Linked DNA regions of Arabidopsis thaliana. The protein of the gene in region 2 interacts with the protein of the main gene of each other region in a pairwise test. Each region holds a gene or a part of one and is shown on either strand. Other genes may lie near its edges. The genes, in order: AT4G11380 and AT5G46630.

Region 1 (16,816 bases), on a different chromosome or scaffold from region 2:
GGTAACAACATTCATAAGAGATCTGATATGACATATATGCAAGTGAAATTAAGGAAATGAAATTAAGAAAAAAGGGAAGATAATATGTCTCTACATATGTGTAACATACTAACATAACAAGTTCTACCAAAAAACAATATGTAACATAACAAGTCTGTAACCTTAAAATTCAGTGGGTGGACATGTTCAAAATCTTTGAAGACTTTACAAAATCTTATTCCAAATGTACGTTCTAGATAACTTATCATATGAAGGTTGAAATCATGCCATTAAAATTTCTAGTGATACATTAAGGAGAGCAACTCATAGTGAAATAAACCTTTTATTGAAGAATAATTGTATTCTAAAATGAAAGTTTAACGATCTATCATCACCTTTTTCGTCAAGTTGTCCAGAGAGTTGAGACGCTTTTGGCAGTTTAAAGAGCAAATATATGGATCAGAGGTTCCAAGCATCTTCAAGCTGATAGGGTACATGCAATGCGACTCACACACCCTGCAAAATGGACGAGATACACTATTATTGAGCACCACCTCATATGATCTGCTGCCATACTTTATTGTGCTTCTTGGCATGAGCCCTGCAAAGTCTCCTAACACGCACTTTGTATGCAAACTAGCTCGGTGATCTTTAGATGTGTAGAACCATGTACTTGGATTCAATTCTTTCTCACAAATGTCACACCAGTATTTGCCACTTGCCTTTTCGCCATAGCATAGTGAGAGAGGATGATCGTCTACTCTATGCATTACCACTTGTGGTAATGTGGCACAACAGAAGCATAAGACAAATCCACAACAACTTTCAATGCACGTCAGCACATTATACGTTCGACCGTTGCAACCATAGCATTGTCTATATTTCACTTGTCGAATGTAATACAAAGGATGATCAGGGTGGCTTGGATGGACAAACGGCTCCGAAACTGAACAGCACAGAACATCTAACACCCCATACCCACACTGGTACTTGAAACCATTGGACATTCTTCTACAAGCTATACACCAAAAGAATTCGGCTACGCTTGTAACTAATGTAAGTCGATCATTGTGTAGCATATGCCATTTCTTTCGAGGAAATTCAGCACAGTTTTGGTGAAGCATAAAATCACAATCAATACATTCATAGAAGGATTGGAGACCAATGGGGTAGGTGCAAGCACTGCACCGCTTGTTTCCATCCCGGAAAAAGCCATTAACATGGAATCTAAGGTAGTGCTCTTTGTGGCTGAAATGTTGTATTATGTTGCCATATATTACCACGTATGGCTTTATATCTTCTATCTCTTCAGGGACTCCTTCGAGTTCTTTCCCGTTCCACACATCATTTCTAGTAGCACATTTCGAATGAATGACATATTGAGGACACCTCTGGCAAGAATACCCGCCCCAGGTCCAATCCACCTTTTGGTGACAAACTCCACATACAGAATTCACAACACCAAGAACAGATGTGCGAGCAACACGATGATCATGCCGATTGATGTTTATGAGGCGTGGAAGGGAAAAACACTCTTGATGTATCATGAAATCACATTGAACACATATGTAAGGGCTTCGATCTCCATTTAACCCACAAGCATTACATGTAAAAGAATCAAGTCTTGGGCGAAAGATGAGTTGGTGAGCATGAGCTTTCAAATCCAAAATAGACTGTGGTGGTGGGTTTAAAAGACAATCCATATCCAAGCTGAAGTTACAAGCGGAACAATGATAAAACAATTTCTCTTTAATCTTTTGTGCGCAAAGACGACATTTACCATCAGAATAGTCTGGTGGTTGACCTATGTGGAGCTTAAGAGGGTGTAAAGGGTGGTGAGAGTGGTTTACCTCTAACAGGTTTTTTGTGTCTGGCGAATTCCATACGCAATCCACATGGAAGGCTAAATTACATTCATGGCATTTGTAAGGAAACCCATACATAACCTCCCCACATTTGCTGGCACCACAATCGACCAAGGTCCGCTTCTTGAAAAGGGTGAGCTTGTGGTGATGCGTCTCGGAAATATCAATAACCTCTGGTGGTGGGTACTTTGCACAGTATAGATCCACATCGAAGTCACATATCTCACAACGATAGAATAGATCCTTGATGCTCTTGCCACATAAATTACATATATGGTGTGGTTTACATTGAAGCTTAAGAGTGTGAACAGAGTGAGATGTGTGTTTAATATATTCAGAGGACTCGTCAACACATTTCCTATGAACAAAGAAGTCACAGATTTCGCAGTAATATCCACCACTGGTAAATTCTGAGCGTCCACAACAATCACCTTTCCGCTGATCATGAGAAGGCATCATGACATGCTTGTGGATCAACGGTAGTGACACTCCCTCTGATTCCATGGTCGCCTACTACAAGATTGAGAAGAAGAAGAAGAAGAAGAAGAAGAAGAAGAAGAAGAAGAAGAAGAAGAAGAAGAAGAAGAAGAATCTGAGATCTCAACGGTATGCTCCTTTCAAGTCTATATCTCTCTCTAATTAAAAGTCAATGTTTACGCTTAAAGATGCTCTTACATAACTTGGTCAATAACAATTATATATATTAGTTTTTATAATAGTTCTATAACTAAATTAAGCACACAAAATAACTAAAACTATCATGAAAAAAACAATTTTAAAAGTCACTAGCCGTTGATAAGAACAAAAAGACAGGACCCCTAATAAATAAATGGTTATACATGTAAGAAAGTACCATTTACAATTTATATATGCCCCACTAATCAAAGTCTCAGTTTTGTTGTCTTAATTATTAGCATCAACGAGTATGTTAGTGGCTTTGAGGTCACGGTTAGTTATGAAGATAAAGAATCCTTAGTTGACGAAAAAAATGGAAAAAAAAAAAATCATCAAGGCTCAAGCTATCACTTCAATGACTTATTCATTCCAAAAAAAAAAAAGCACTTCGATGACCTTGTATTGTATTTTAGCCCAATACAGCCATCAAATGGAGTCTAATACCATCAAGTGTCCTCATTGCACGGAGACCAGTAGCTGGTGTACAATTGTTGTAACATGTTAACGATGTACTAGTTTTTACATTAGCTAATTAATTACGTGTATGTGTTGGTTAAGTTTTGAATTTTGCATTCGTTCCTTCATGTCGAATCACTCTAGTTGATGTTCATCAGTGTCCACTTCCACGTTCACAGTAGATTAATTCCAGTGTCACAGTTGGTCTAACAGCTTAAGCAAGTATCAGCTTTTGCATTAGCTGTCTTACCTCTGTTTTGATTTTGTCTATGATTGATGCAACTCCTTTCTCAATACAATGATGCTCAAATCTCTGTTCACTTTTACAAGTGAAGGTGAAAAAAAATATCTCTTTTTTTTTAATAGTGGAAACCTCTTTTTATACTTGCTTTGCTTGTCATTCTAGTACAATTAGTGAATGGAGTTAAGAAAAGAGAGTTATTCTTTTATCTTTGTTCTTATAATCTTCTTCAAAACTATAGTACCTGGACCAAACGATATAGGTGGAGATATGTTTCCCAACACTCCTCCCACGATAACTTTTGCATGTCCACATATGTCTATCCAAATTGTGTTTAACTTAAGAGCCGATGCCTTACTTTCTAAAAGGATACTACTATGTTTCACTCTGATGCAAACTTAGTGTGGCTAGCATATCCTGAAAGAAACTCCAAATTGCACACTGCATGACAAAACACATGCTTCTGATAGCAATTCTGATTTTAAAATACAAGAATAACCGTCTTTGGTCTCTAGCCCCAAGTGTACCTATCACCTAAAAGAAATGTTTGAAAGTTTTGGCATTGTCCATCACTAGCATCATCAACGGCTCCAATGTAGCTAGATCACTGATTTTCCATGGTGATCTGGTCCTTTGATGGTGTTTGATCTTCCTTATTAGTTCAGAAACCAGCATTTCCCGGATTAAATATCGAAAGAAAAAAAATGTGGTTCCGATACAAGAATTATAAGAAAATAGTGAGCATTACAAATACCAAACTAAAAGGGTGCAACCGGAAGTAACACAAACATGGGATTTATTACATACACTAAACTCAGAAGAAGAAAAAAGGTGGGATATAACGAAACAAGAAAGAATCTCTGAAACCTTTCAGGTCTTGGTCTTATTAGCCTTTTGATAACAACGTTAATCATCAAGCCTTGAAGAGAAGCTCCAAAGCTTCGAAGAAGAGAGGCGCAATCTCGGGAGTGGGAGTTTTCACTGCGCATTTGAGACCTGGTTGGCCCACCATTGCAGTGAGCTCGATCAAAAACGGTACATCTCGTGGATCTTTGGCTGATAAGTAGATCACGTCTTGGTTCCCGTTCTTGCGCTTTGCTATAAAGAACATGTTGAATGCTGTGAGCAATTCGATAGTTGATTCGACGCTCGTGATGGTGATCCCGGGGAATTCTTTCAGGACTTCATTTGAGTCCGGTAACGACCTCCATGTCTGATTAAAAAGCAAACAAAAACTTAAAATCTTTGAAAACATAAAGATATATCCAAATGAAAACCCAAACCGTATAAATTTATCTCTAACCGATTTGGTTTCACAGTCGTCACTATTTTCCTAAACCAGAACCGATATGAACAGCTCAAGTTTTGAAGTATGTTACCTCAAGGAAGGTTCCACGTTCCATTCTACCGTCTTCACCGAAAAGAGCATGAAGTATAATCTTATCGGTGAAGTACCACACGGGCTGCTGGTTGTTTTTGACAGCGACTTGTAAGAGCGAGCTTGGAGGCCCAGCAGACATGTTTTGGAACAAGACCATAGGTAGCATTGTCCTGGCGGATGTTGCGGGATGCAAAGGCGGAATCTGAAACAGTACAGACATGGATATTGGTTTCAATGATTCAGACCTGAGTTTCAGACGTTAATTAGATTCAGATAGAGTTACCTGAAGAGATCCAGCAGCTGCAAGGCCGAATGTGTTTTTGTTGAACTGAATCATGAAACCATCAAGAACCGACTGCGAGTTGTTCTCGAAGAGCATACTGTAAAATACTTGTCCATCTTTTCGGGATAATTGAGCGCTTATCTGCAGACCTTGACCACTTGAAGCTGGGACGACAACGGGCAGAGGAGGACTACGATCAAGTTCATAAGATTTGATGAGTTTCAGTATGAACTAGGCAACCGAAATTGACCTAACGTAATAAACTAGTCCCAACAATAGAAAGTTTCATTAATCAAGACATAACTCACCCAGATTGAGTTATGGGATCATCAACCGGGACAATAGCGGCATTATCCAATCCCATCAGGTCACCTAGCAGATCAGGTACAGGAGCTGGGACCGCTGGTGCTGGTTGTCTTCCGGAAGGCTGTGGGATATTACCTGGAGGAGAAGCTGCACTATCAACCGGATTACTAGATGAGTATCCTGCTTCGCTTCCTTCCGCAAAGTCCTCGTCTTCTGTTTTCTGAACTGTCGTTTTCAAGCGGGTAACAAAAGCCTCTGGGGGTTTGTGGTACACAGAGGACAAGGTCGAAATATTTGTAAGAAGCTCATCAAGAAGTGATGGGTCTAGCTGGTTTGAGTCGTCAGAAATCACGGGCTTTTCAGCTAAGACAACATCCTTGGCAGCCTAATCAAGAGAAATGATGAGTTCAGCCAAATACATCTCAAGAGAAAGCTCAACTGATAAAAATTGCTTGTTGCTTGAATAACCAATCCTGAATATATTCATTCTCTACTGGTTGATTACTAGAAAGCTATAAGAAATCAAGGTAACACACACCTCAGGATCAGTGGATAGAAGACGCCAGTATATGTATGCACGATCTCTGAGATCAGGATTATCCGTCTCCACAGTAGCATTATTCAAGACAACCTGAAAACATCAAGCATAACGGAAAACATGCCTGTCATTACATACATGCTCATGAATCGATCATAAAAACAGTGGTGAGCAAGGAAAAAGCCGAACCTGAATCATTTGTTGAGGGCCTTCAGTTGGCTTCTTCAGGAATAGCTTAACAGTAGCAGTTAGGAGCTGCAACTGGACCTGTGCTGGTTCCTCAGGAAAATTCTCCAGAAAGCTTTCAAGAAGCTCATCGGCATTGTCAATTCTTTCAGCATATTCACCAATGATCCATATCATAGATGCCTTTCAAGTTACCAAAAGATACCGAATTCAGTGATTTAAGATTAAATGAAGATGGTAAATTTCAATTTTCCAAACCAAAATCAAAAAAGTTCAATACCTTAGCTTCTGGTTCATCCAAAGTGTCTAAACTCTCACAGAGTGTTGCAATTATGGACTCATACCTGTATGAAATATTTGAATAGCATAACCAAAATCAAAGAAGAGTTTTAAGATGCCATTTCAACAGTGATTGAGAAATGTCAACTTACGTGTTTGGATATCTTCTGAAGATATCTTTGATGACAATAATGGCCTCCTGGACAACATAATTCACTTTAATCTTGATCAACTCGAGCAAAACACTGATGCACCGTTCAGCTGCTCTCTCTAGTTTGATAGCACATCGGCCTATCGCACGAACAGCCTTTCTAACAAAATCAACGTCTACTTCTGTGGCATACTCTTTGAATTCCAGAAGAACCTAGAGTAGCAATTTTCAAAAATCATAAAGATATGCACCAATAATAATCAAGACACACAGCAGATGGTAGAGCTCAGTGAGGATACCTGGTCTATGTTTCTGTCAGAGGCAAGTTTAATCATAATCTCCAACTTCTCCATCTTAACATAAATTGGGTCGTTATACTTGCAGAAGAAAACCTAAAACAAAAAGAATATCACTTTCAACATAATCAATAAATGCACGGATACATCAGTTGTTTATTCTGAGGAACTATGAGACACAGGTCATGCTACCTTAATTTCATGGGCAAGGATAGTGGGTCGTTTTTGCACAATAAGATTAATGTTACGAAGTGCAACATATTGTATCTCAGGTTCGGCAGAAAGCAATGTAACAAGGGGTGGAGCCATCTTCTTACAAAGATTTCTAATCACGTCTGTACTAGTAATAAGTTCCATTTGTTGAAGGATCATCTGTCAGGCAATTACCAAATATGAAACAGAAGTGAGAACGCAATAGGAAAATATGCAAAGGCATTTGATGATGCCTGATGTTTTACAATCAAGTTTGACGAGCTACCAACTAGAAGTAGAGAGGATAACAATCAATGAAAGTCGCTCACCTTAACAGCTGAAAGAACAACAGCGCAGTTGGCATGTTGCAACCTTGGTGTTACTCTCTCAACAATATTTTCAGCCTCACGGGGATCAGCTGCTTTATACTTCGATAAAGCATCTAGTATAAAAACTTGACCCCACCTGCGATGATCATGGTCAGTACTAAAAATGAAGCTACCAAAAGCTTATCCATTACTCATTTTATGCTTCTCTTCCCCAAAGTTTATATACTGGGTCATTATCTACAGATAAAACCATCAATGACGAAAAATTCTAAACTGCTGTTTGAAAATAGTTACAAAGACAACGGAATGATATCCAAACAGAGGCCATACCACATCAAACAAGCTATTTCACAACCATCAACATCCCCTAAACCCTGACTGGACAATGGGGCCATAAATACTCAAAATCGAACAGAATGCAGTGAAACTACGGAAATGGAGAGGACTTACTCAGTGCATTCATTTAGAGCAGTAAGGAGCTTTGTAAGAGTGGTACTATTGATCTCAAAGATGGGGCTACTACTGTTCTCTTGAATCTCCGCAAGGGCTGCTACAGCATTGGCAACAACCATTGGATTGTTATCTGATATCAAATCCTTCAAGGCTTCAAGGAAACCTCTGTCCTCAACTAATTCAGCATTTATGTCGAAAAGCTTAGCGACGCAAATAGCCGCAGTCTTCCTGACATATGGGTCATCATCCTAAACACAAAAAATATACACAGGATAGTGAAAAGATGGACTAGTCAAGATGAAACAGGTTCTTAAGGGCAATAAAGATGTTTGATATCAGATTCCAATGAAGATGTAACATTAGAAACTCAAACCTTTAGGCACTTTTGAAGAGGATCACATAGATATTCTGTGATTTTATCAACACGAATGCAGCCCATTGTCCGCACAGCCAAAGCACGAATCAGCGGATTTGGATCCTGTGAATCCTGCAGAATACAAACCAATGATTTTGTAATGATCAGTTTATCAGTTCCTTTCCCCTTCAGGTTCAGAACAGAACAAAGGAATGCCACGTGGTTTTGTTTGAGTTGCTTGAGTGTTACCTTTACAAAGGTATTTACTGCAAGAATAGCAAGATCTGGCTGGCTTTTCGCATAATTTATGAGATACAAGTAAACAAGCTTCTTCAACTCCAAATTTTCCGTTTGCATACAATTGACTACATCAGTGAAAAGTGATGAAACATCCTTTCCAACAGTCATCGCCGCAATAACCTTCTTAACTGCATCTTTTCTCTTATCCTATGCAACAGTAAATAAACAACAAGGGTTAACAAAACTGTAGCCAAAGCAGAAAAGAACCATTCCTTCTTAAATCATTAACATAAACTCTTCATCCAAATCCACTGATCCAGATCGAACAAGTTCTGATTCACCAACCTAAGCTTCACTAAAGTTACTACGAGATTGCACACACATCTCCACATTAGCCATTCTCAAAAACCTACCAATTCCTCTCCAATTCTAACCTATATCCCAATCAGTTACTGAAAAATGAACGGAATCATCGCACTTCCCACAAAATCACGAAACCAATTTCAATTCAAAATTCAAAATCCAGAACTACACAGATCTACCAAAATTTGTATAAGGATAACTAAATTACAAGGAGAGAAGGATCATCGACCGAGAGATCGTGAATGTAATAATGGCGGATCACAGATCCACATGGAATGAGACAAGAGTAAGATTAAGAAGAAAAAAAAAACCTTATACTGGGAATTAAGCTCTTCCTTGAGCTCAGGGATCTCTCCCTTCTTCGTCGTGGAGAAGTATTTCGAATCGTGACCACTCATTTCTCTCCTTTCTTCGACCTGACCCGACGATGTTTCTTCTCTGAGATTTTATGAGACAGAGAGAGAGACGTTTTGCACACACAAAAAAAAAAGAGAGAGAGAGACGATGACGGAGAAATGTTGGAATGGAAGACGCCGGTGACGATTTTCTTGGCTAACGGGCCGATTGTTTAGTGGGCTCTCTGATAAAAGTTAGCCCATTTATGAATTTCTCGAGTGTGTCTTTTGATAATTAGTAAAAACTTTGATATTTGGCTAAAACTTTTGAATATTTTCCAATTTACCCCTAAACTTAGGTTTTGCCATAAAACTGGAACTGAACCGAACCGAACCAAAAAAAAAAAAAAGAGTTTTGATTTGGTTCCAGGTTCCAATAAGTATCTTAATGGATCTTAAAGCAAATCCATTGGTGGGTTTTTTATAAGGAATCCTTTAAATTTCTTAATAACAAATATTAATAATTTTGAAGGTTAGAGTTTTTGTCAAGTTTTTATAAATTCTCTTCTCCAAAGGTAGAATCCTTAAATGGGTTTCCTTAAAAAAAAAACTTATGAGATCAAAGCCAAGTAATAATGGGAACCAAAACTGAAACAAAAGAAGAAAAAGAGACTAATGAATGAATGACCTATGAGATCAAAGCCAAGTAATCACAGATTTTCAAAAGCGGTGCAAGACTACCATCAAGCAGTGTTTTCTCAATCTTCAAATCTCTATGACATATTTGCTACATAAACATACAAAAGTGTTGATCTGAGAGAACAAAGAGACTAAAACTGAATGCTTCGATGTTTTATTATCATAGTTGTTTGGCTTTAAATAGCCTAAAGATGAAGACTCAGTCTTCTTACAAATACGTGAAAGAGAAATTGCAGGAACTAACTGAAACAAAACTAAAAACTAGGACAACAAGTTGACACCAAAACACGCGGAGCTTATTCCCACTCTGCAACTAACCAAAGACCAAATCAAACCCAACAAAAAGATTAACAAAACGAAGCAAAGATCTCTCTGTTGAAGATATTGCTACTTATCTTATTTAGAGCACATCAATTAGTTGCTCTTAAGCTTAATGTTGCTTTATGTACTGTTTGTAACCCCTTTTGGTCTTTTCCCTTCTTGTCCCTTTAGGTCTGAAACGCTTTCTCTTTGTATAAGTGTCTGAGAAACACTTAAGCTGCTATCAAGACAAAACCTTATCTTTATCTCTTGTCTCTTGATTTTGTCATGGTATCAGAGCTAAAGCTGGGGTTTTTCATTTGAAATCGATAAAGTTTGAGTTTCTTTTGGAGTAATGGCTGCTCCTCCGGTAATTCCTCTTGTAACTGAAGTCCGGCGAACGATCTCGCCGTATGACTTAACGGTCGCTGATAACTCTGGAGCTGTGATCTCCCACCCGATCTTGAAGTCGACTAATTATGATGAATGGGCATGTGGCTTCAAAACAGCACTGCGCTCACGGAAGAAGTTTGGTTTTCTTGACGGCTCCATTCCACAACCGCCGTCAGAATCTCTGGACCTCGAGGACTGGTTAACGATTAATGCTTTGCTAGTGTCTTGGATGAAGATGACGATTGACCCGGCGCTCTTGACGAATATCTCCCACCGTGACGTGGCTAGAGATCTTTGGGAACACACTCGTAAACGCTTCTCTGTTTCTAGTGGTCCAAAGAATCAGAAGATGAAGGCAGATCTTGCTACTTGTAAACAAGAGGGTATGACTGTTGAAGGATATTATGGAAAACTCAACAAGATTTGGGATAATATCAACAACTATCGTCCTCTTCGAACCTGCAAATGTGGAAGATGTGTGTGTAATCTTGAAGCTGAGCAGGAGAAAGGTAGAGAAGATGACATGGTTCAACAATTTCTGTATGGACTTGATGAAACTCAATTTCATACAATTCGGTCTAGCTTAACATCACGTGTTCCTCTTCCTGGACTCGAAGAAGTCTACAACATTGTGAGACAAGAAGAGGACATGTTGAGCAATAGATACTCTAAGGAAGAAAAGCTAGATGTCACTGCTTTTGCTACTCAGTCTCGTCCACAGATTGATCCTAGTTCTGCAAAGTTCCCCAACAAGAACGTTTGTAAGCACTGCAATCGTGGCGGTCACTCGCCGGAGAACTGCTTTGTGATCATTGGATACCCAGAGTGGTGGGGCGATAGACCGCGAGGACAATCTGGTCGAGGCAGAGGCAAACCCGGTCTAGGCTTTAATGGAGGACAAAATCGCACTCCAACCTCTTATGTGAATGCTGTCACAACTGGCTTAACCACTGTGGAACGGGCTAATCGAGTTATCACTGATAGAGATCGAGATGCGGTGAATGGTCTTACAGATGAGCAGTGGCGTGGTGTACTCAAGCTCTTGAACGCTGGAAAAAGTGATGAAGCCAACATCAAACCCAACGAACAAGGACATGAGACTCTAACGGGTACGTGTTCTAATTTCTCTTCTTGGATCCTAGATATAGGTGCAGCTCACCATATGACTGGAAAGTTACATCTGTTGACTGATATGCGCAAGATCTCTCCGGTTTTGATTATATTGGCTGATGGGAATAAGCGAGTTGCTGTGAGTGAAGGAACAGTGCGCCTTGGTTCCAGTTTGGTTCTGAAATCCGTTTTCTATGTCAAGGAATTGACTTCAGATTTGATCTCTGTTGGACAGATGATTGATGAGAATTACTGTGTTGTGCAGCTTGCTGATCACTTTCTTGTGATACAGGACCGCATTACGAGGACGGTGACTGGAGTTGGTAAAAGAGAGAATGGAAGTTTTTTGTTTAAAAGTATGGAGTTGGCAGCAGTTGTGAGCACAAGTGTCAAAGGTTCATATGATCTATGGCACAAACGTTTGGGACACGCATCATAAAAAGCAATTAGCTTGATTCCTACTGATTTTTTGTCTAGTAGTAGAGATTTTTTGGACAGTGTCTGCGACATATGTATGAGAGCTAAACAAACTCGTGAAACTTTTTCTCTAAGTGATAATAGAAGCATGGAAGCTTTTGGTCTTATACATTGTGATGTCTGGGGACCGTATAGGACTCCTTCTCACTCTGGTGCTCGTTATTTCCTAACCATAGTGGAATATTTCTCGAGGGGAGTGTGGCTGTATTTGATGGTTGAAAAGAGTGAGACGCAGAAACATTTGAAAAGTTTTCTTGCTCTTGTTGAATGTCAATTCAATGTCCGTGTCAAAACTGTGAGAAGTGATAATGGAACAGAATTTATGTGTATGCGGGATTACTTTGAATAACGCGGGATTCATCATGAAACTTCTTGTGTTGGGACTCCGCATCAGAATGGACGGATGGAACGAAAGCACCGACACATCTTGAATATTGCTAGATCATTGCGGTTTCAATCGCATTTGCCAATTGAATTTTGGGGGGGACTGTGTTTTGTCTGCTGCATACCTGATAAATCGAACTCCATCGATGCTTCTTCAAGGAAAATCTCCTTATGAGCTGCTGCATAAGAAGGCGCCGAATTATGCTCATCTTCGTGTTTTTGGATCTTTGTGTTATGCCCACAATCAAAATCATAAAGGCGACAAATTTGCCTCTCGAACGAAAAGATGTGTTTTCGTTGGGTATCCTCATGGACAAAAGGGATGGCGTTTGTTTGATCTCGATGATCAAATGTTCATGATTTCTCGAGATGTCATCTTTAAGGAAACAGAGTTTCCTTTTGCAGAAGTCCCTCGTGGAGAAGATGATCACGATTTGGGCCGTATGGGCCAGGAATTAAACACAACAAGTTTAATTCCTTCTCTTGTACCAAATGGGCCGACTATTGTTTCTTCAGAAGGCCCAGCAACTTTATCTCCCACTCAGGCCCACGCAGATGATTCTCTTTCAACCCTAGTTGGTGTCTCTCTCGACACAACACCAGAAGAGTCGCAACAGCCAATAGAATCCACAGTTTCACTTCCAATGGAACCAACGCTAACACCGGTGAACTCTGAGCCAAATCCCCCAGAGGCTGAACCGCTTGGCCGTGGTCATCGCCGAAAACAGCAACCGGTAACTCTAAAACACTTTGTTACAAATACTGTTACCGTGGAACCTGATGTAGTTGCGGATTCATCGTCTCTTTATCCAATCGAGCACTATATTGACAGTAGCCGTTTCTCATCGGCTCATAAAGCTTTTCTTGCGGCTGTAACTGCTGGTGTGGAACCGACAACGTATAATAGAGTTGTGATTGAAAAAGTTTGGTGTGATGCAATGTCTGATGAAATCACCTCTCTCCAAGCCAATGAAACATTCTCCATCGTGGATTTACCCCCTGGGAAGCGGGCAATTGGCAACAAATGGATCTACAAGATTAAGTATCGTTCTGATGGGACAATAGAGAGATACAAAGCGCGTTTGGTGGTTTTGGGAAATCGTCAGCAAGAGGGTGTTGACTATGATGAGACTTTCGCTCATGTTGCTAAGATGAGTACGGTCCGAGTGTTTCTTGGAGTAGCTGCGGCCCGTGACTGGCATGTACATCAAATGGATGTACATAATGCTTTCTTACACGGAGATTTGACGGAGGAGGTATACATGAAGTTGCCTCAGGGCTTTCATTCTGATGATCCGACTAAGGTATGTCGTCTACATAAATCTCTCTATGGTCTGAAGCAGGCTCCGCGATGTTGGTTCTCGAAACTCTCCACGGCTTTGATTCAATATGGTTTCACACAGTCTCTATCGGACTACTCTCTTTTCAGCTACAACAACAATGGGACGTGTGTTCACGTTCTCATCTATGTTGATGACTTGATCATCCCAGGCAGTTGCTCCATCGCTGTTGAACGTTTCAAAGTTTATTTGGAATCTTGCTTTCATATGAAGGATTTGGGTCTGCTGAAATATTTTCTGGGAATTGAAGTGGCAAGGAATGCTGATGGTTTCTACTTGTCTCAGAGGAAATATGTCCTCGATATTATATCAGAAATGGGTCTGTTAGGCGCCAGACCTTCTTCTTTTCCGATGGAACAGAACCACAAACTGTCCTTATCCAAGTCTGTTTTACTTCCCAATCCTAAAAGGTATCGTCGCTTAGTCGGGAGACTTATATACTTGGCTGTTACCCGTCCTGAGCTATCATATTCGGTTCACACTCTGGCTCAGTTTATGCAACATCCACGCCAGGATCACTGGGACGCTGCCATCAGGGTGGTTCGTTTCTTAAAATCCACTCATGGTCAAGGGATTCTGCTCTCTAGCACATCCTCTTTAAAGCTCCATGGTTGGTGCGATAGTGATTGGGCAGCTTGTCCTCTTACCCGTCGCTCTCTTACTGGTTATTTCGTGCAGCTTGGTGATAGTCCTATCTCATGGAAAACAAAGAAGCAGCCTACTGTGAATTGGTCTTCAGCTGAGGCGGAGTATCGTGCGATGGCTTTTCTTACTCAAGAACTGACTTGGCTCAAACGTTTGCTACATGATCTTGGTATCTCCCATCCTCAACCAATGACAATCTTCTCCGACAGCCGATTTGCTATTGCTCTAAGTGCTAATCCGGTTCAACATGAATGCACGAAGCATATTGAGGTGGACTGTCACTATATTCGCGATGCTATCCTCTCCGGTCTCATTGCCACTTCTCACGTGCCTTCTCAACAACAACTAGCAGACATCTTTACCAAGGCATTGGGCGCAAGGGAGCTTCGTTTCTTTCTTGGCAAGTTGGGCATTTTCGATATGCATGCTCCAACTTGAGGAAGGGTGTTGAAGATATTGCTACTTATCTTATTTAGAGCACATCAATTAATTGCTCTTAAGCTTAATGTTGCTTTATGTACTGTTTGTAACCCCTTTTGGTCTTTTTCCTTTTTGTCCCCTTAGGTCTGAAATGTTTTCTCTTTGTATAAGTGTCTGAGAAACACTTGAGCTACTATCAAGACAAAACCTTATCTTTATCTCTTGTCTCTTGATTTTGTCACTCTCCTTTCACACTCATGGAGATTTGCTTAAGTTATGTAAATAAAAATACCAGTGAATGACAGTAGTCCACGCCACAAATCAGCTGCTGAAAGAAATATCTAGCTTGAGAAAAATAGCAAGATGGAAAAATATATAATCAAAAATTTGTCAAAAAATCCAATAAGAACTAAGTTAGAAAGCATTTATCAAACCTCAGCTTCACTGAATCTACTAGCATTACAGATTCTTTCAAAGAGCTCTCCTCTAGAAGCATACTCCATTTCAATTGCAAGATGAGTTGGAGTTAGAACCACCAACAAATTTACTCTGTTTTTTAAGTTTCTTAATCTCAATTAAAGTACTAAAAGATTATGCAACAAAGCAACAAACCTCCTTGAATCGAATGATATTAAGATGCCTAAGGGATCTATGATTGATAATTTCTCTCGCCACATTCTCATCAATCTGCAATACCATCAAAATCTCAACTCTTAAACCTCAATCATCCCAAAAGTTGCAGACTTTTTACCTAATTTCTAACAAATCAAAGAAAGTTCAAAACTTTTTCTGAGAAACTAAAGAGGAAAAGATCAAACCTTACGACCTCTCTCAATGTATTTCATAGCAACGAGTTTCGCCTGATTTCATTGTCAGAGTAACAAAAGAATAGAGTCGGATAGGAGAAGAGGAACGAAGCAGATTTTTTTTGTCTAAATTTTCACCCAATCAGAAGCAGCTACGTCTGCGTTTCTAAACACTTATAAAAAAAACTAAAATTAGGACCGCTCCTAATAATTTGGTTGGGTTTTTCTTTAATTTTGGACTTTTATTCTTTAGGATTTCAAATTAGTAACCCATTAGAAACACTGATTGACATGCTCTTAGAGCATGAACATAGTTGATACTTTATATGTATCATTTTTTTAGTATTTTTAATGTTTATTTATTGTTTGAGATTTTTTATGATACTGGTAATAAATATGTTTCTAGTGGTGAGACCGATATTGATATCATTAAAAAAAAAATTATTTGCAAAATCAAAAAATAAATATATAAAAACATAAGATTACAAAATTACTGCAAAATTATGTCGCATAATCACGAAAAGCCTGCAAAATTACTCACTCGCGAAAAATATAGTTAGTTAGCTAAAATAGTAGAAAGACTATCGGAGAGAATAATGGAATTTTTTTTTTTTTTTGCTTTCAGGAAAAAACGAGTTTTACATACGAATCATGAGACTCCATATCAACTGATACTGGATATCAAAAGAATCATTGCACTGATACAGGATCAGGCCTTGTCTGATCTATTAAAAAATTATTTATATCTCTTGATACTCTAAATGTATTATCTTAGTACATGGTCTTAGTCACATTTACCCATTGAATGATTGGATATCAGTCACTTCAGTTTGGTTATTATCTGATATCCATGAGTACGAGAGTATCCATACAAAGCCAAAAAAAATTGGTTAGCCTTCTACAAACCTACAACTAAGCCCAATACATTTTGATCTAATTTCGAACACAATTTATTTTTTGGTCTATTAGATTTTGTTTATTCTGGCTCAATACATTTTTGTCAATTTTATTTGGATATTTGATTATTTTGGTTTATTTTTGATATGTTGGGTTAAGTGTTCAGAATCAAACTAATATCAAGTGAAGTTTGATTATTTGTCGATTTTCATTCAAAGTATCTGAATCAAACCAAAAATAATTCAACTGAACCGAATTAAACCAAAGAATCGAACTCGTAGTCAAGTCCTACTTAAACATGTGAGTTAATTATCTTAAGCAAGTGGATTGTCCCTATAACAGTTTAATATGATAGAAAAAGATAGTTTATTAGGGTTTTATTAAGTACAAAGAAAAGTTAAATAAAGAAAGGAGAAAGGTTAATGAAAAATTTTCTTTAAAA
Region 2 (14,545 bases):
TAAGCAACCATGAAGAGCAACAACAGTGTAACCAAACTGACGAAGAACAGATCCAACTTTAACATAATGTTTCCATGGAAATCTATGACAATGTCGTGTGTGTCTTGGCTCCCAACTTGCATACATTGCCTATATACACATGTTCATATACATTCAAGTTTTTGTTTTCATTCGAGTTTTGAAATAAATTTTCGATAGAAATTACTTACAAGTGCTTCATCGGCGGATTTGGAATCCAAAACAGTCTTATATCCGTTATAGATCGTGTCTTCTGACAAATCTGATGTTTCTTCGTCTTTCTCCTCCTCTTCAAAGTACTCATTCACACATGCTAGTAAAAAATACCGTATATTTAATCAGCTTAACTAATTGGAACAATATAATAATAAATTTTTGCACTTAAAAACAACAATATCGCAATATCGTTACAAAATATAAAAATGATCGAAATTAGCAAGATTTACTAACTCAATTATGAAAATATATCTACTTTCTTATTTCTTGATTCCAAACAAAAAAAACTCTAGATTGCTAAAAATTTCACATTGAAAATAAGATGAGGCCGAAAGTATAAAAAGCAATCTATTTAATTTGAATATATAATATTTAAGTACATACCTTCGATGGAATAGGAGAGGCCTTGAAGCTTAGCGACGGTGGATTTGTGAAGGTCCTCACCAGACCAAATAGGAAAAACCAAAAGGCTCATGAGCAGACAAATACCAACACCCATGGCTATAGTATAGAATCTCTCATGTGCAATTTTAATCACGGTATCAACTCTATAACTCGATACTGTTATTAGATTGAACGTCAAGAGAAATATAAGCATGCCGTAATCGTAGTTCTTTTTAATGTATGGAATAAATCTCAGATATGTTATCAACGCTCCTGTTACATTAACAAAACAAGTAGTTAATACAAAAATTGTCCAAAACAAATGAAATTATAGATATCCCAAGTTTTGGAAACTATTAATTTGTTAGGGTCTTATAGTAATGTCACATTACTAATTTATTTTGATTATGTGATAATTAAGAGTTAAGTTTCGTAAACTATTCGTTTGTTACAACGTGGATTGATTGTGTAATAATTAAGAAAGTATTCATACCAATGATAAAAACTGCGGCGCCAATGAAAATAGCTCGGAAAATCTTGCCGGAATCATTAGCCACAAATTCTATGAAAAATGCCAAAGATCCAGCAATTAGTGTCCCTAATCCTCTATTAAGCCCTTTGCACAACGTTGCACCTGAATTATTAAACACCATTCATTTACATCATTTAAATAACTTAAGCTTATACACAAAATATTAACGCTCTAATCATTTTAGCTATTGTTATGAGCAAATAATCTTTTCATGCCTTCGTTTTTTTTATTTACACCATCAAAACGACAGACTAAACCCGATATAAACTAGTCTATGAACTAGGAATTTCTCGCAAATGGATCATGAGAATATTATACAACACATGGATTCTTGATTGAATCCAAATTAAAAAAAAATATAAAAAATCTACAAGTTGAATTAAATGTTATAATTACCGGCAGAGAACTCTAGGACGACAACAACGGTCATGACTGCCCAAATAGCACTGTTTCCAATGCCTTTGAAGAGAGGCTCCATGAGATACAATAAAGACACAAGTGTTAACGAAACTCCTACTTTCAAAGCATGTTTCACTCTCCTTGGATCATCTTTTCCAACTTTCCATATATTCTTTAGAATCTTCTTGATCTTTGTTGGAAGTTCAAGAACCTTTGTCTTCATGTTTTTAGTAGAGCCTTCTTCCTCCATTCCCATGCTCCTTTCATGGACCCTGTCCGACATTGTTTTTTGTCTTTTTGGGTTCAAAATTAGAATTATTGAATATGAAAGAGAGTTTAGGTGTTAGTGTACTATCTATATATAATTGTATGCATATACGTATACTATGTGCAACGCATAGACACGAGACTAGTTAGCCCGACGAAGCAAATTATAATTCAATACGTGTGTTTTAATTGTGTGTCTGTCTATATATTGTCTATGTGTATCAGTGTATGTGTGTATAATTTATTTAGTTATCACAATATTTTTTCTGAAAACATAGCAATAGTAATTTAGATAGTAAAAATAAATATATTTACAAAGTTACATTTTGTATTTATTTTTTTTATTTTTTTTTGTGAACTCAATAATTCATAACATAAAGAGAACAAATGGATTTTAATAGCTATTTTCTTGATAATGTACAAGTGACGAGAGACTGGTTTTCACATGACTTGCAATAATATGATGGTGGTTAAAGAAATTTTTATTTTCTCTTTTTTGCTACATAAATTGGGGAAAACAAAAAGTCAAGATATATTAAAACTAATTTGTGGCCGTTCATTAAAAAATACTATTAATGACGTTCCATATTGAACTTGTTAAATTAAAAAACGAATAAGTTTTAGATTCACCATTCATATTCATGCATGTGTCACTCAATTCATTCATCAAAATAAATCAAAATACATTGTTGTGCGCAGATCTTGATCAGATATCTTATTTTGCTGCATTATGTTTTTTTTTCTCTGACAGAGTAAATTAACAAATCTACATCTAAATGTAGGCAAGATAATTGTGATGATGCTAGAGTCATATAAAACCAAAATTTATAAGTGGTTTCAAGTATCAGACAAATGAAAATGAGTTGGATGTGTTTCAAATTTCGTTGTCCTTTTTTAACCTAACACATTTGAAAAGCTTTATTATACACAAGTGAAAATAAATTTGATTACGTGGGTGAGAATTTGTTATCAACACGACTAAGACTTATAATTTGTCGTGTTAGGTTGAAATATTACTATTTGTCCACAACCTGGTGACAGCAGAAGACCGAAAAAGAAAGAAAATAATATCAAAATATTTAATTTAATTGATCTACCTATGACTCATCGACGTAATAATCATACAATTACTAGTATAATATAAGGTAATCATCCAATAATAAATGTATATTTAATGAGTAATGACGGCGATTATGACAGACCTAATATAAAACTAAGCCCACTAATGTTATAGTTTCATCGTAGATATTTTATTTTTCCTAAGTCCTTGGCTTTAAACTATTTTATTAACATTTTAATTTCAATCACATAGATACTGTTGTTAATTAGCGATTGACTAACAAAAATATTACAAGAATATACGAATTTTTTTTTTCACGCCGTTCGGCAAATTATATTCTTGTAGATATTAGTATTTTTCTACAAGTCTTGTAGTTATTATTTTAGTTATTATTTTAGTTGATGTATGTTTATATATTAAAAATCCAAAATAAATCATCACCAATTAGATTCATTGTTTGTAAGAAAGAAAAATAAATTAGATTCATAGTATTTGAACTTTCTCTAACATACTTTTCAACTAGGTAAGCTTATCAGAAAATCAATACTTTAAACTTTCTTTTTGAGAAAATGTTATTTTCTATTTCATTTTTTTTCATTGCATACAAATATATACTCTGTTACCTTTATGCAAACAATATAGCCAAAATCTTTATAAGTTTCATAACCAGTTACGATTTTCAAATATTATTTACTTCTTTAAACTGCTTAGATTCAGATGCAATATGAATCATATATTAATAATCATTCCTTGCTATTCAATTTATAACAAGAATCTAAAAACATCATATCGAGCGAAAATTGGAGGTCTTGTATAAGAAAAGGATTCATATGTGTGCAAAACAGAGAACTTGGTAGTAGTAGTAGAAATACACAATTGCACAAATGTGTTTAGATAATCCCAAAGAGAATCACTGTCTATTTTCAGAAACTAAATTCACAGTTAAATAACATTATAAGTTCTCAAGAATCTAATGGATTGATATCGAAATTAATGAAACACAAGTTCTAACCTTTCTCTGATTCAATCACACACTATTCAGCAAATCTTTCTCCTTGGTTTTCATTGTTCAATGCATTAATGGCTGAAGTTTCCCATCAGAAGATATCACTAAACCTCTCACTTTTGCAGCTTTTGTTTTGCACTTTCTTGGTAAAGTCTTGCAGTTTTGGTCTTCTAAGAACTCATCTGCAACATCTCCGTCTTCATCAATCTTAAGCCGCATCGAGTACCAACGTAGTCCCTGATCCAAATAAGAGGTTCGCTAGTAAAATTCTCGGCTCAGACTCTAATTTGAGTCAATGCCATCAAGAAGAACTCAATGAACCAGATACACATAATCGCAGAAAGATAACTGAATAATCTTGGCAATATAAATCTTCTTGCTTATTATCGTCTTTCTCTACCAATATAACTAATTAAGATTCTTTAAGGTCTTTATTTTAGCATGGGTGGCTTATGATTAATACTTGTTTCGAGGAACTTTCTTCTGCCGCAACTAATCTTACAACAAGCTAAACCACATATCCCTGACATGGCAGTATCTTAAGGACTATACATTAACTTTACGAGCAAAGATGAATGAACAGAGAGTAAGAAAAGACAATGAACTACAATTACAAAGACATCAAAATCTATAAGATCATTCAGAGAATTTGGAAAAACCATAAAGAAATGACGAATGTAAAGTCATCTACTGAAGCATATAAAGTACTTTTTATGAAACACAAGCATATCGAAGCCAATCTTGAGGCCATATTAAAGTGAAAAAAAAGCAAGGCACCCGCACAGAACATGAAATGAATGTAGGCCACAGAGACGACTGAATCTTCGCAAACTCACAAACCAATTTATTATCCAACTTAGTGTGATCCAAACCAAAGGTATGAATACACAATCCAGCTACAGAACTAGCATGAAACTGCACTATGTGATACCACATTACAGATCTTCGTAAGACTTAACCATAACTCTTTATCTAGCTAGCAACAAGTAATTCACATATTCTCATGAATTTGATCAATCCCTAGAGTTTCACTAACCAATATCATCAGTCAAAAAGGAAAACTGACCTGAACACCACCGTCTAAAGCAGCACAAGGCTGAAGAATAGGACCAGGATTCGACCGTTCAACAGCAACTTGAACCGGTACACCAAAACCTTTCCTTGGTCCAGTTTCACGAAATCTCGTCTGATTCTCTTCCCGACGTTTATCTCCATCACCAGAAACAGTTCCAGTGTTGTTATCTCCACCATCACCATCTTCATCTCTCACAGCTCCATGACCACCACCACCATCGTTATGACCAAAACCAAGTATACCCGTTAACTTCTTCAAAAAACCCATTAACCCCAGATATCAAATTCGATCTAAAGCCCTCAAATTTAACAGCTTTTCTCTCAAATGAATGATCTTCCAAAATTAGGGTTTTCGAATATCCCTTTCCTCTCCCGATTTTTGCTACTTTCTCCGATCGCTTCTTAATCCAACAATATTCATTTCCTACTGTTAAAACCCAGAAATCTCTGTCTTTAATCTCTCTCTCTCGTGAACACTGTGTTAATCTTCTTATGCACTGCAACAAATTATAGAAAGATGAATTTTTTTTTGGATCAAAGACGGATCGAGCAAGATCTTCTTTTTATCATTAACGGCGCGGTTTCTATTAATATACTAAATAAATATTCCACATTTTTTTTTTCTCTCGTGAGTGAACAAAAAAAAAAATTGCGATCATTTACAGTTTTACTTTTACACATCACTGACATCAGAGAGAATTGAACAAAAAAAATTCGAAAAGTTTCGTGTTAATCATATATATGAAAGTTGGCTAACTCTCTCCAAATGATTGACACATCATCATTTTAGCATTTGCCATGTGTCTATTAAGTAATTAATGTAAGCTCTTCAACTTCTAATTTATAAGTTAATGATATATTTATTATTTAATTTTACATATTTAATTATAGTATTACTAAATTTATTTTAATATTACATGATTTTTCAATAAAACCATTTAATAGTTTTCTCATACTCGAAGATTTTTTTTTGTAATCCAAACTCAAAGTATGAGTATATAATAGTCGTGGATTATTTAATGATTTGAGTAAGTTATTTTCTTAAATTGATATTATATTCTCTTAAATTTATATTTATACAATAAATCATTGAGGTTGAAGAATACGTAAGGAGCTCCATCATCAAATTCTTAGGTTTCTAGAATCCAAAACTACCCTCTCTTAAGTTGGTTTAATACAAACGTTATTTATGAATTATGTGTATGATGCATTGTTGAGAATGTTGTTAGAAAAAATATTTTTAAAATTAAAAGGAATTGTTTATTGTATAAGTGAATAATTAGATAAATAAAAATTATATTTAAATTAAACAATACGAAAAAAATCCGAAAATACCGCGGCGTAGCGCAGGTGATCACCTAGTGTTAATAATTGAAAATTAAGAACTTCTATACATTGTTTGTTACCTAACCATTCTTCATATGTAAACAACAATTAAAAATGATGAAGGATATAATGTACTACAGGCCCATAATTGAGACGCACAGGCCCAGAATCGAATAAGACCGGCCCATTCCAAAATGACGACTGAATTCAATTTTGTTTCTATTTTTTGATAAAAAAGAAATTAAAAAAATATCGCATTTCAGTTGTTCAACTTCTTCGTCGTCGTCTTCTTCCTTTGCTCCGTCGTCGAGATCTCGTCGAACCTCAAATCTCAAATCTCCTGTAACCAGATCGTCTAATTATCCGATCTGCGTTTCGAATCTCAGATCGAAGATGCCGGTGGCTGCTTCCGCCATCTATTTTCTGAATCTCCGTGGCGATGTACTCATAAATCGCACCTACCGAGATGACGTCGGGTAAGAGAGCTTCTCCTTTTCTTCACCGTCGATCTCTTTAATTTTTTGAATTCGGCTTCATTTTCAGCTCCATGTTTTGTTCTTATCGCTTCTAAGTAGTCGTACTTTGTAGGATTTTAGCTGTGAGATTTGAGATTTTAAAATTTTGATTTGATTTTGATACTTAGGGGAAACATGGTGGATGCATTTCGTACGCATATAATGCAGACGAAAGAGTTAGGGAATTGTCCTGTGCGTCAGATTGGTGGCTGCTCCTTTGTTTATATGCGAATCAGCAATGTCTACATCGTCATTGTTGTCAGTAGCAATGCTAATGTTGCTTGTGGATTCAAATTTGTTGTTGAGGTAAACTTGTTTTTGTGTTTCATTTTAATATTCCACAATTGTTTTGATTCTTGTTCAAATTTCAAGAGAGTCAGATTGATTCTATACACATACTGCTTTTGATTCACATTTTCAGGCTGTAGCTTTGTTCAAATCATACTTTGGTGGAGCTTTTGATGAAGACGCTATTAGAAATAACTTTGTTCTGATTTATGAATTGTTGGATGGTAAGTAAGCCTGATAGGGTCATGATCAAATCACTTTCTTATCACTTGTAAAGTTGCATTAGTCGTTATATGTTATTCTATTTTGTGGTAACACCAATGAATGATATTTTGTATTGAATTGCAGAGATTATGGACTTTGGCTATCCACAAAATCTCTCACCTGAAATTTTAAAACTTTATATCACTCAGGAAGGTGTACGGTCACCATTTTCATCGAAGGTAAAGGCATCTATTTGTTTGTGTATACAACAGATTTTGTAATTGTGTTGGTGTGTGGTTCTTCGAAGTTAAGCAGTATTTCCCGCAATAAATAGAGATTATGTTGCTTCTTCACTAGATATGTTTGCATTCATAAGCTTCTTTTCATTACAGCCAAAAGACAAACCTGTTCCAAATGCAACATTACAAGTTACAGGTGCTGTTGGTTGGAGAAGAGAGGGCCTTGCTTACAAAAAGAATGAGGTGAGTGTTGAGTTTCTTTCTGTGTGTATGTAGATCGGCTAGGTTGTGCGGTAGTGATGATATTTTGCATTCTCTCAAACGCAGGTGTTTCTGGATATTGTGGAAAGTGTAAACCTTCTGATGTCCTCTAAAGGTAAATAATTGCCTTTTATGAAGTTTTTTGAAGTTGTCTTTCTTGTTGATTTGCTGTGTATGACTGGTTTTGCATTTTATGGAAACGGTTAGGCAATGTTCTTCGGTGTGATGTGACGGGGAAGGTTTTAATGAAATGTTTCCTTTCGGGAATGCCTGATTTGAAGTTGGGGTTGAATGATAAAATTGGTCTTGAGAAGGAATCAGAAATGAAATCTCGCCCAGCTAAGAGGTATACGTTGTTAATACATTGAACATCAGTAGCCACTGACTTTTCTTTGTGCTAACTGACTCTCGTTTTGTGCAGTGGTAAAACCATTGAGCTTGATGATGTCACATTTCACCAGTGTGTGAACCTGACCAGATTCAACTCCGAGAAGACTGTTAGTTTTGTACCACCGGATGGAGAGTTTGAACTGATGAAGTAAGTTTTCGAATGTCCACTGTTGCAAATTGTTCTGGTACCAAATGTGTATTAACTTTATGATGTCTCAGGTATCGAATAACAGAGGGTGTAAATCTGCCTTTCCGTGTATTACCAACAATCAAAGAACTTGGTCGTACACGTATGGAAGTAAATGTCAAGGTACATAACTTTTCTCAAGGATTACAGGATACAAAAAAATTGGCTTGATCTTTGCTCTCTTACAATCCCTTCCCGTGTTTTGTCTGTTCAGGTCAAAAGTGTGTTTGGTGCTAAAATGTTTGCCCTTGGGGTCGTGGTTAAAATTCCAGTGCCAAAACAAACAGCCAAGACCAATTTCCAAGTGACAACTGGTCGCGCTAAATACAATCCATCAATCGATTGCTTGGTTTGGAAGTGAGTTTATATAATTTCCCCTCATATTCATCTCTATAATTCTTTTGTTGGTGTTTTATCAATCATTCGGCATCTTTCTCTCTTTTACTCTTTAGGATAAGAAAATTCCCAGGGCAAACAGAGTCCACGCTAAGTGCAGAAATTGAGTTGATCTCAACAATGGGAGAGAAGAAATCTTGGACAAGGCCACCGATCCAAATGGAATTTCAGGTCAGTCTTTGTCTCTTTTAGGCACTGTTAAATAGAACCAGATTTGCTTAAAGCAATTATTAACCGTCTCAGCTTTGTTCTTTTCTAGGTGCCAATGTTCACAGCATCTGGTCTGCGAGTTCGTTTTCTCAAGGTACGCATTGTTATCTATGCTTTTGAAAGTACCATCCTTCCAAAAAATGCAATGCTAAGTAGCAGAATCTCTAAGCCATTGTGTCATTAAATCCGTTCAAATCTTTTATGTGATTTGCGTTTTGGTTAATCTGTCTCTGGTCTTTCAAAAATTGATTGCTATACTACTTTTTTGGACCTGACTATCCGGAACGATTGGCAGGTTTGGGAGAAGAGCGGTTACAACACGGTCGAGTGGGTTCGATACATAACGAAAGCGGGATCTTACGAGATCAGATGCTGAACATTAAACACAGTTCAGGTTCAGTGACATCAGACTTAAAAGTTTCATGGCTTCTAGTTTTTTGTTCCTTATGCAAAACAAAAACAAAAGAGTTAAATATGTTTTATACCTTGTTTTATGTTTGTTTTGTCGATTAGAGATATCTGTGTTAATATGATTTCTTATGTCTTAATTTGGTATTGAATTCTGTTTTTCTTTCTTTCTCTGTTTGTGAAATTGTACGAGATATAGTTTAGATTAATTCTGGTGTAATCGAACGTGATAGAGTATTTGTGAAAGCAGTCGGATTCTTTTTAGTAGTAGAATCGGGTGTAATATGTTAATGAAAACAAATTTTACTTGAGAATAGTTCGAACTTCGAAGGTTTTTACACATAACATAGATCGTTAAAATCTTTTGTAAGTCTACTAATTCTTCAGAAACAAACGGGAAATTGTAAAAGTAATAGACTATCAAAGCTACACCCAAGTACGTCTTTCACTCGTGGTTGGTTATGCATGATCGAATTTCTATAACTTCGCTTATGGCAAATGTGGTCATGGTGGTTCTTTGGACTGTGTCATGTGGCTCTCTGCCCACAAGACACCAGATATCATGGATACTTTGCTACTCACATGCAACTCAAATATGGTCTAAGACAACAAACATGATTCTATTGAACTGCTTCTCCATCGATTGGGATCACCTCGTCGGTATTCTGAAATCCACAAGCTGGGTGTCTTGTTTTTGCATCACGTTACTTTTCAAAGTTCCCTATAATGTTTGACGAGAATGCAACAACCGACGACATGGATACCTTCCACAAATATCAATAACGAATTCTGAAGTTTAAGGATTTTTAACTTCAGAATTCGTTATTAATCATTCACAAGTTATTGTGTTATTTTTTATAATATATCCAATGCAAATACTCTTTTTTCTCATCTCCAAACTGAAGTATTTTTATTTTTATAAACTCTTAATAAAAACGGATGACCACAAATATTTCTGCTATAATTTGGATGATAATGAAAACAAACCAACTACAATCTACTAAAGATTCAAAAATATTTTCTCGAATGCTTAAACCTCACGTAAGTAAATACCAAATCAATTCAGATAAAATTAACAAAACAAACTCAAATAAAATCTCCTAAAAATCCTATAAATAAAAAGATGATTTCATTTTTTTTCTTCCTATTAAATTTACATTTTCCGCCACACTTCATCTCTCCCACTAGTCTCTCCTCGAGACTCTCTCTGTATGTGTGCGAGAAGCGAGAAGCGAGAGAGAGAGAGAGAGAGTTGTTAGCTCACACGCTTTCTCTATTTTCTCGGAATTCACAAAACAGAAAGTTTCATCCTTTACGAGAATTAAGCCGAAAGAAACAATCTTTGAGTTTGATTTCTTCTTCCTTCCTTCTCTCTCTCTGCTCTAATGGATTCCAGAGACATCCCACCGTCACATAACCAGCTTCAACCACCACCGGGAATGTTAATGTCTCATTACCGTAACCCTAACGCCGCCGCTTCACCATTAATGGTTCCCACTTCCACATCTCAACCGATTCAACACCCTCGTCTTCCTTTTGGCAATCAACAACAATCTCAAACGTTTCATCAGCAGCAACAACAACAAATGGATCAGAAGACTCTTGAATCTCTTGGATTTGGTGATGGATCACCTTCTTCTCAACCGATGCGATTCGGGATCGATGATCAGAATCAGCAACTGCAAGTGAAGAAGAAGCGAGGAAGGCCGAGAAAGTATACTCCTGATGGTAGCATTGCTTTAGGTTTAGCTCCTACGTCTCCTCTTCTCTCTGCAGCTTCTAATTCTTACGGTGAGGGTGGTGTTGGAGATAGTGGTGGAAATGGAAACTCTGTTGATCCACCTGTTAAACGTAACAGAGGAAGGCCTCCTGGTTCTAGTAAGAAACAGCTTGATGCTTTAGGTATAAGCAAGTACTCTAAAGTTTGAATCTTAACACGTTTTGTTTTAGATTACATGCAATTTGATTTGATGGGTTTGTTCTGTTTTGTTTATGTGTGTGTGTGTGTGTGTGAGTAGGAGGAACTTCAGGAGTTGGGTTTACACCTCATGTCATTGAAGTGAACACAGGAGAGGTAAAAAGTTGTTGTTCTGTCTTAGTTATCTGAAAATGTGTTTTGTTTCATGTTTCAGGATTGGTAAGTTAGAAATGTTTGAAATAAATGTATTGGTTTAGTGAATTTTGATGGAGGAATGAGTTTTAAATGATGTTGTTATGTTAAATTTACTTACTATATTCAGGACATAGCGTCAAAGGTGATGGCTTTTTCGGATCAAGGGTCAAGAACAATTTGTATTCTCTCTGCAAGTGGTGCAGTTTCTAGAGTGATGCTTCGTCAAGCTTCTCATTCTAGTGGAATCGTTACTTATGAGGTTTAAAATTATGTTCTTTTGATGTCTTTAGTTTTAGTATTTCTGTCTTAAGTGTTTAGATTTGTATGTGTGTGCTTTTTCAGGGACGATTTGAGATCATTACTCTCTCAGGCTCAGTCTTGAATTATGAGGTAAATGGTTCCACCAACAGAAGTGGTAACTTGAGTGTGGCTTTGGCTGGACCTGATGGCGGCATCGTAGGTGGCAGTGTAGTTGGTAATCTAGTAGCTGCAACACAAGTCCAGGTACAGAATATGAACTCATGTTACAGAATCCTTAATATTGTGTTCGGGTTAAGAAGACGGTTTCTTTTATGTTCATATGCGTCCTAATGTGATATAGGTGATAGTGGGAAGCTTTGTTGCAGAAGCAAAGAAACCGAAACAAAGTAGTGTTAACATTGCTCGGGGGCAGAATCCTGAACCGGCTTCAGCGCCGGCTAACATGTTGAACTTTGGATCAGTCTCTCAAGGACCATCGAGCGAGTCATCAGAAGAGAATGAGAGCGGTTCTCCTGCAATGCACCGTGACAATAATAATGGGATATATGGAGCTCAACAACAACAACAACAACAACCTCTTCATCCTCATCAGATGCAAATGTACCAACATCTTTGGTCTAATCATGGTCAATAAAATGAAGCGGAAATTAATTTGTTTCCGTTTTGGTTACGGTTATGGTTTGATTTCTTGTTGTTGTTTAGGCAAATCTTAAGAAGATTCAAGCTTCATGGTTTTTTGTAGCTTTTTTTTTTTTTGTTGGGGGTTTATTAGATAACATATAGAGAGATCTAGATATTAGGGTCATTTTAATTTTTTTTTTTTTTTTTTGGGGGTTAATTCTCTGTGAGTTGATTTGAATTAGAGATAAAAGTCTGAGATTCCTTACTAGAACAATATATATATTCCACATTAAAATATTATTTGTTTTCACAAATTTTGTAATTATTTTTAAAAAAATTCAATATACCGTAGTTCTTTAATCCAAATTATTTTAAAATGTTTTTATATCCCTTAGAAAGTTAGAAAGAGCTCAGCTGTTGGATGTGATTTAAAGAGATGATGACACGTGTGAAGGTTTAGCAAGCTAATAAGCTCCTCCCGAGATCTACTGTTGATAAAGCTGCCTCGTGTTGATATAACGAGCCATGCGATTAAAAGAGAAAGGTACTTCAGAGTACCTCAGATGTGGGAATCATGCATATCAACAACAAGCTCATCATCATCATCATCAAGTGCAGTCGATCCTACTCGTACTCTGGCCTATGTGTTACCACAGCCAATGTTTAGACCATAGAGCTGAGAGTAACGACTGCAACCAACTTTCATTTTTACAAGATATATCAGTTTGTCGAGTTATTGTAGTTAATACGTTCATATTTATTGGTGATGTCAGGTGATTTGGTTAGATTGATTGATTAATTTATTTGCAAGATAAAGAGTTTTAGAAAGCAAAAATAAGTGAAGTCTAACTCCTATTAAACCAAAATGTTTTTAGAAAATTAGAGAAACGCATCACATATGGGGACTATGCATGTCATCAGTTATCCGAGATGTTGTTGAAATTCCAAACATTTTGATCAACAAGTAATTATTGAGTTCTGATTAATTCATTATTTATACTATTAATTTTGAAAAAAAAAAACTAAACTTAAAAAAAGGAACTTATGTGTTCAACAATTTCTTAAATAAACTGACAAACAACTTCTTCCTTTAACCTTTATACAAAATAAAACGATATTACAGTCCAATGTATCTTATTATTTTTTTTTTTTTTTTGCTCAACATCAACTATCATTAACCAATCAAGTTTTACATCTTATCATACTCCACAAAGGATTTAACCTAATTTGGCATTATAGAATACAACTGAGAATCATAATTCTCGAGAGAAAGAGATTCCTTTGCTATCCTATCTGCCACTCCATTGCCTCCACGATTCGTGAACACGAATTTTGTTTCCTCAAAATGCTGAAGCAGGTGCTTGATATCTTGTATAATCAGATCTAGTGCAGGTCTGTCCCCATTATCAACAAGGAGGGATACCAACTGTTGGGAATCAGATTCAAAAATTACCTTTCGGTAACTGAAGCGAGAAAGTGACAGCACCGCCCAACGCAAGGCTTCAGCCTCCGCAACCAAAGCGGATTGGACTCTTGGAATAGCCCGAACACCTATCCAAAGCACATTCTTTTCGGAGTTTCTAAGCACCCAGCCAATGCTACTGGTGCTTCGGTCTGCAGTCCAAGTTCCATCTGAGTTGCACTTAACCCAACCATGTGGGGGTTGCTTCCATTTGACCGCAGGTGGCTCAGTTTTCTCTATGTGCTTCGGTATGAAACTCCGCTGCATACTCAGCCTCCACTCCTCTTCATCCTCTATTGCCCGCCGAATTACATCAGGTGCATCAAATTGTTTCCCTTTGAAAACAAGGTCATTGCGATTCTTCCACAATCTCCACAGGATCCATGGAGCTACCAGTCCATCATCACCCAACCATGGATGACACTGAGTTATGTTCAATAATTTGTGCAAGTTTTGGTAGAAGGAATCTGACCACTCACGCTCTGGTGGAGCTGGAATTTTGGATATAGCCCATACAAGTCTGCCGAAAGAACATTTGAAAAGAAGGTGGTTGACAGACTCGAGCTGTGATGGGCAGCGAGGACACGAACCATCCCTGACAAGGTGTCGATGATATAGATTGCCCGCTACAGAGATAATGTTACTCAAACATCTCCATAAAAAGTGATGTACCTTAGGTGAGACTTTAGCTTTCCAAATCTGCTCATA

Evidence for each region.
Region 1: the proteins of AT5G46630 (region 2) and AT4G11380 interact in a protein complementation assay, tested with the Arabidopsis thaliana proteins (one study listed by BioGRID).

The regions. Positions count from the first base shown.
Region 1 is NC_003075.7:6,912,758-6,929,573, reverse strand, and holds AT4G11380 (Adaptin family protein), read right to left. Parts: upstream 9,086-16,816; 5' UTR 8,967-9,085; coding exon 8,880-8,966; intron 8,683-8,879; coding exon 8,640-8,682; intron 8,570-8,639; coding exon 8,547-8,569; intron 8,413-8,546; coding exon 8,215-8,412; intron 8,098-8,214; coding exon 7,984-8,097; intron 7,859-7,983; coding exon 7,608-7,858; intron 7,294-7,607; coding exon 7,158-7,293; intron 7,009-7,157; coding exon 6,829-7,008; intron 6,733-6,828; coding exon 6,640-6,732; intron 6,554-6,639; coding exon 6,342-6,553; intron 6,255-6,341; coding exon 6,191-6,254; intron 6,094-6,190; coding exon 5,914-6,093; intron 5,818-5,913; coding exon 5,725-5,817; intron 5,572-5,724; coding exon 5,189-5,571; intron 5,071-5,188; coding exon 4,881-5,070; intron 4,800-4,880; coding exon 4,596-4,799; intron 4,430-4,595; coding exon 4,130-4,429; 3' UTR 3,998-4,129; downstream 1-3,997. Other genes in the region: AT4G11390 (Cysteine/Histidine-rich C1 domain family protein), read right to left, coding at 375-1,682; AT4G11385 (uncharacterized protein), read left to right, coding at 1,896-2,027, 2,139-2,247, 2,297-2,487; AT4G11373 (Serine/Threonine kinase catalytic domain protein), read right to left, coding at 9,811-9,915, 14,964-14,996, 15,106-15,207, 15,284-15,358, 15,490-15,516.
Region 2 is NC_003076.8:18,913,905-18,928,449, forward strand, and holds AT5G46630 (Clathrin adaptor complexes medium subunit family protein), read left to right. Parts: upstream 1-6,533; 5' UTR 6,534-6,675; coding exon 6,676-6,758; intron 6,759-6,925; coding exon 6,926-7,103; intron 7,104-7,218; coding exon 7,219-7,309; intron 7,310-7,433; coding exon 7,434-7,528; intron 7,529-7,681; coding exon 7,682-7,771; intron 7,772-7,855; coding exon 7,856-7,904; intron 7,905-7,996; coding exon 7,997-8,135; intron 8,136-8,210; coding exon 8,211-8,327; intron 8,328-8,398; coding exon 8,399-8,489; intron 8,490-8,580; coding exon 8,581-8,723; intron 8,724-8,818; coding exon 8,819-8,933; intron 8,934-9,021; coding exon 9,022-9,156; 3' UTR 9,157-9,267; coding exon of another isoform or gene 9,268-9,348; 3' UTR 9,349-9,541; downstream 9,542-14,545. Other genes in the region: AT5G46610 (aluminum activated malate transporter family protein), read right to left, coding at 1-129, 210-331, 619-891, 1,112-1,252, 1,547-1,832; AT5G46620 (uncharacterized protein), read right to left, coding at 3,946-4,119, 4,949-5,224; AT5G46640 (AT hook motif DNA-binding family protein), read left to right, coding at 10,766-11,282, 11,399-11,454, 11,621-11,752, 11,836-11,997, 12,095-12,388. UniProt on the Arabidopsis thaliana protein: Subunit of the adaptor protein complex 2 (AP-2). Adaptor protein complexes function in protein transport via transport vesicles in different membrane traffic pathways.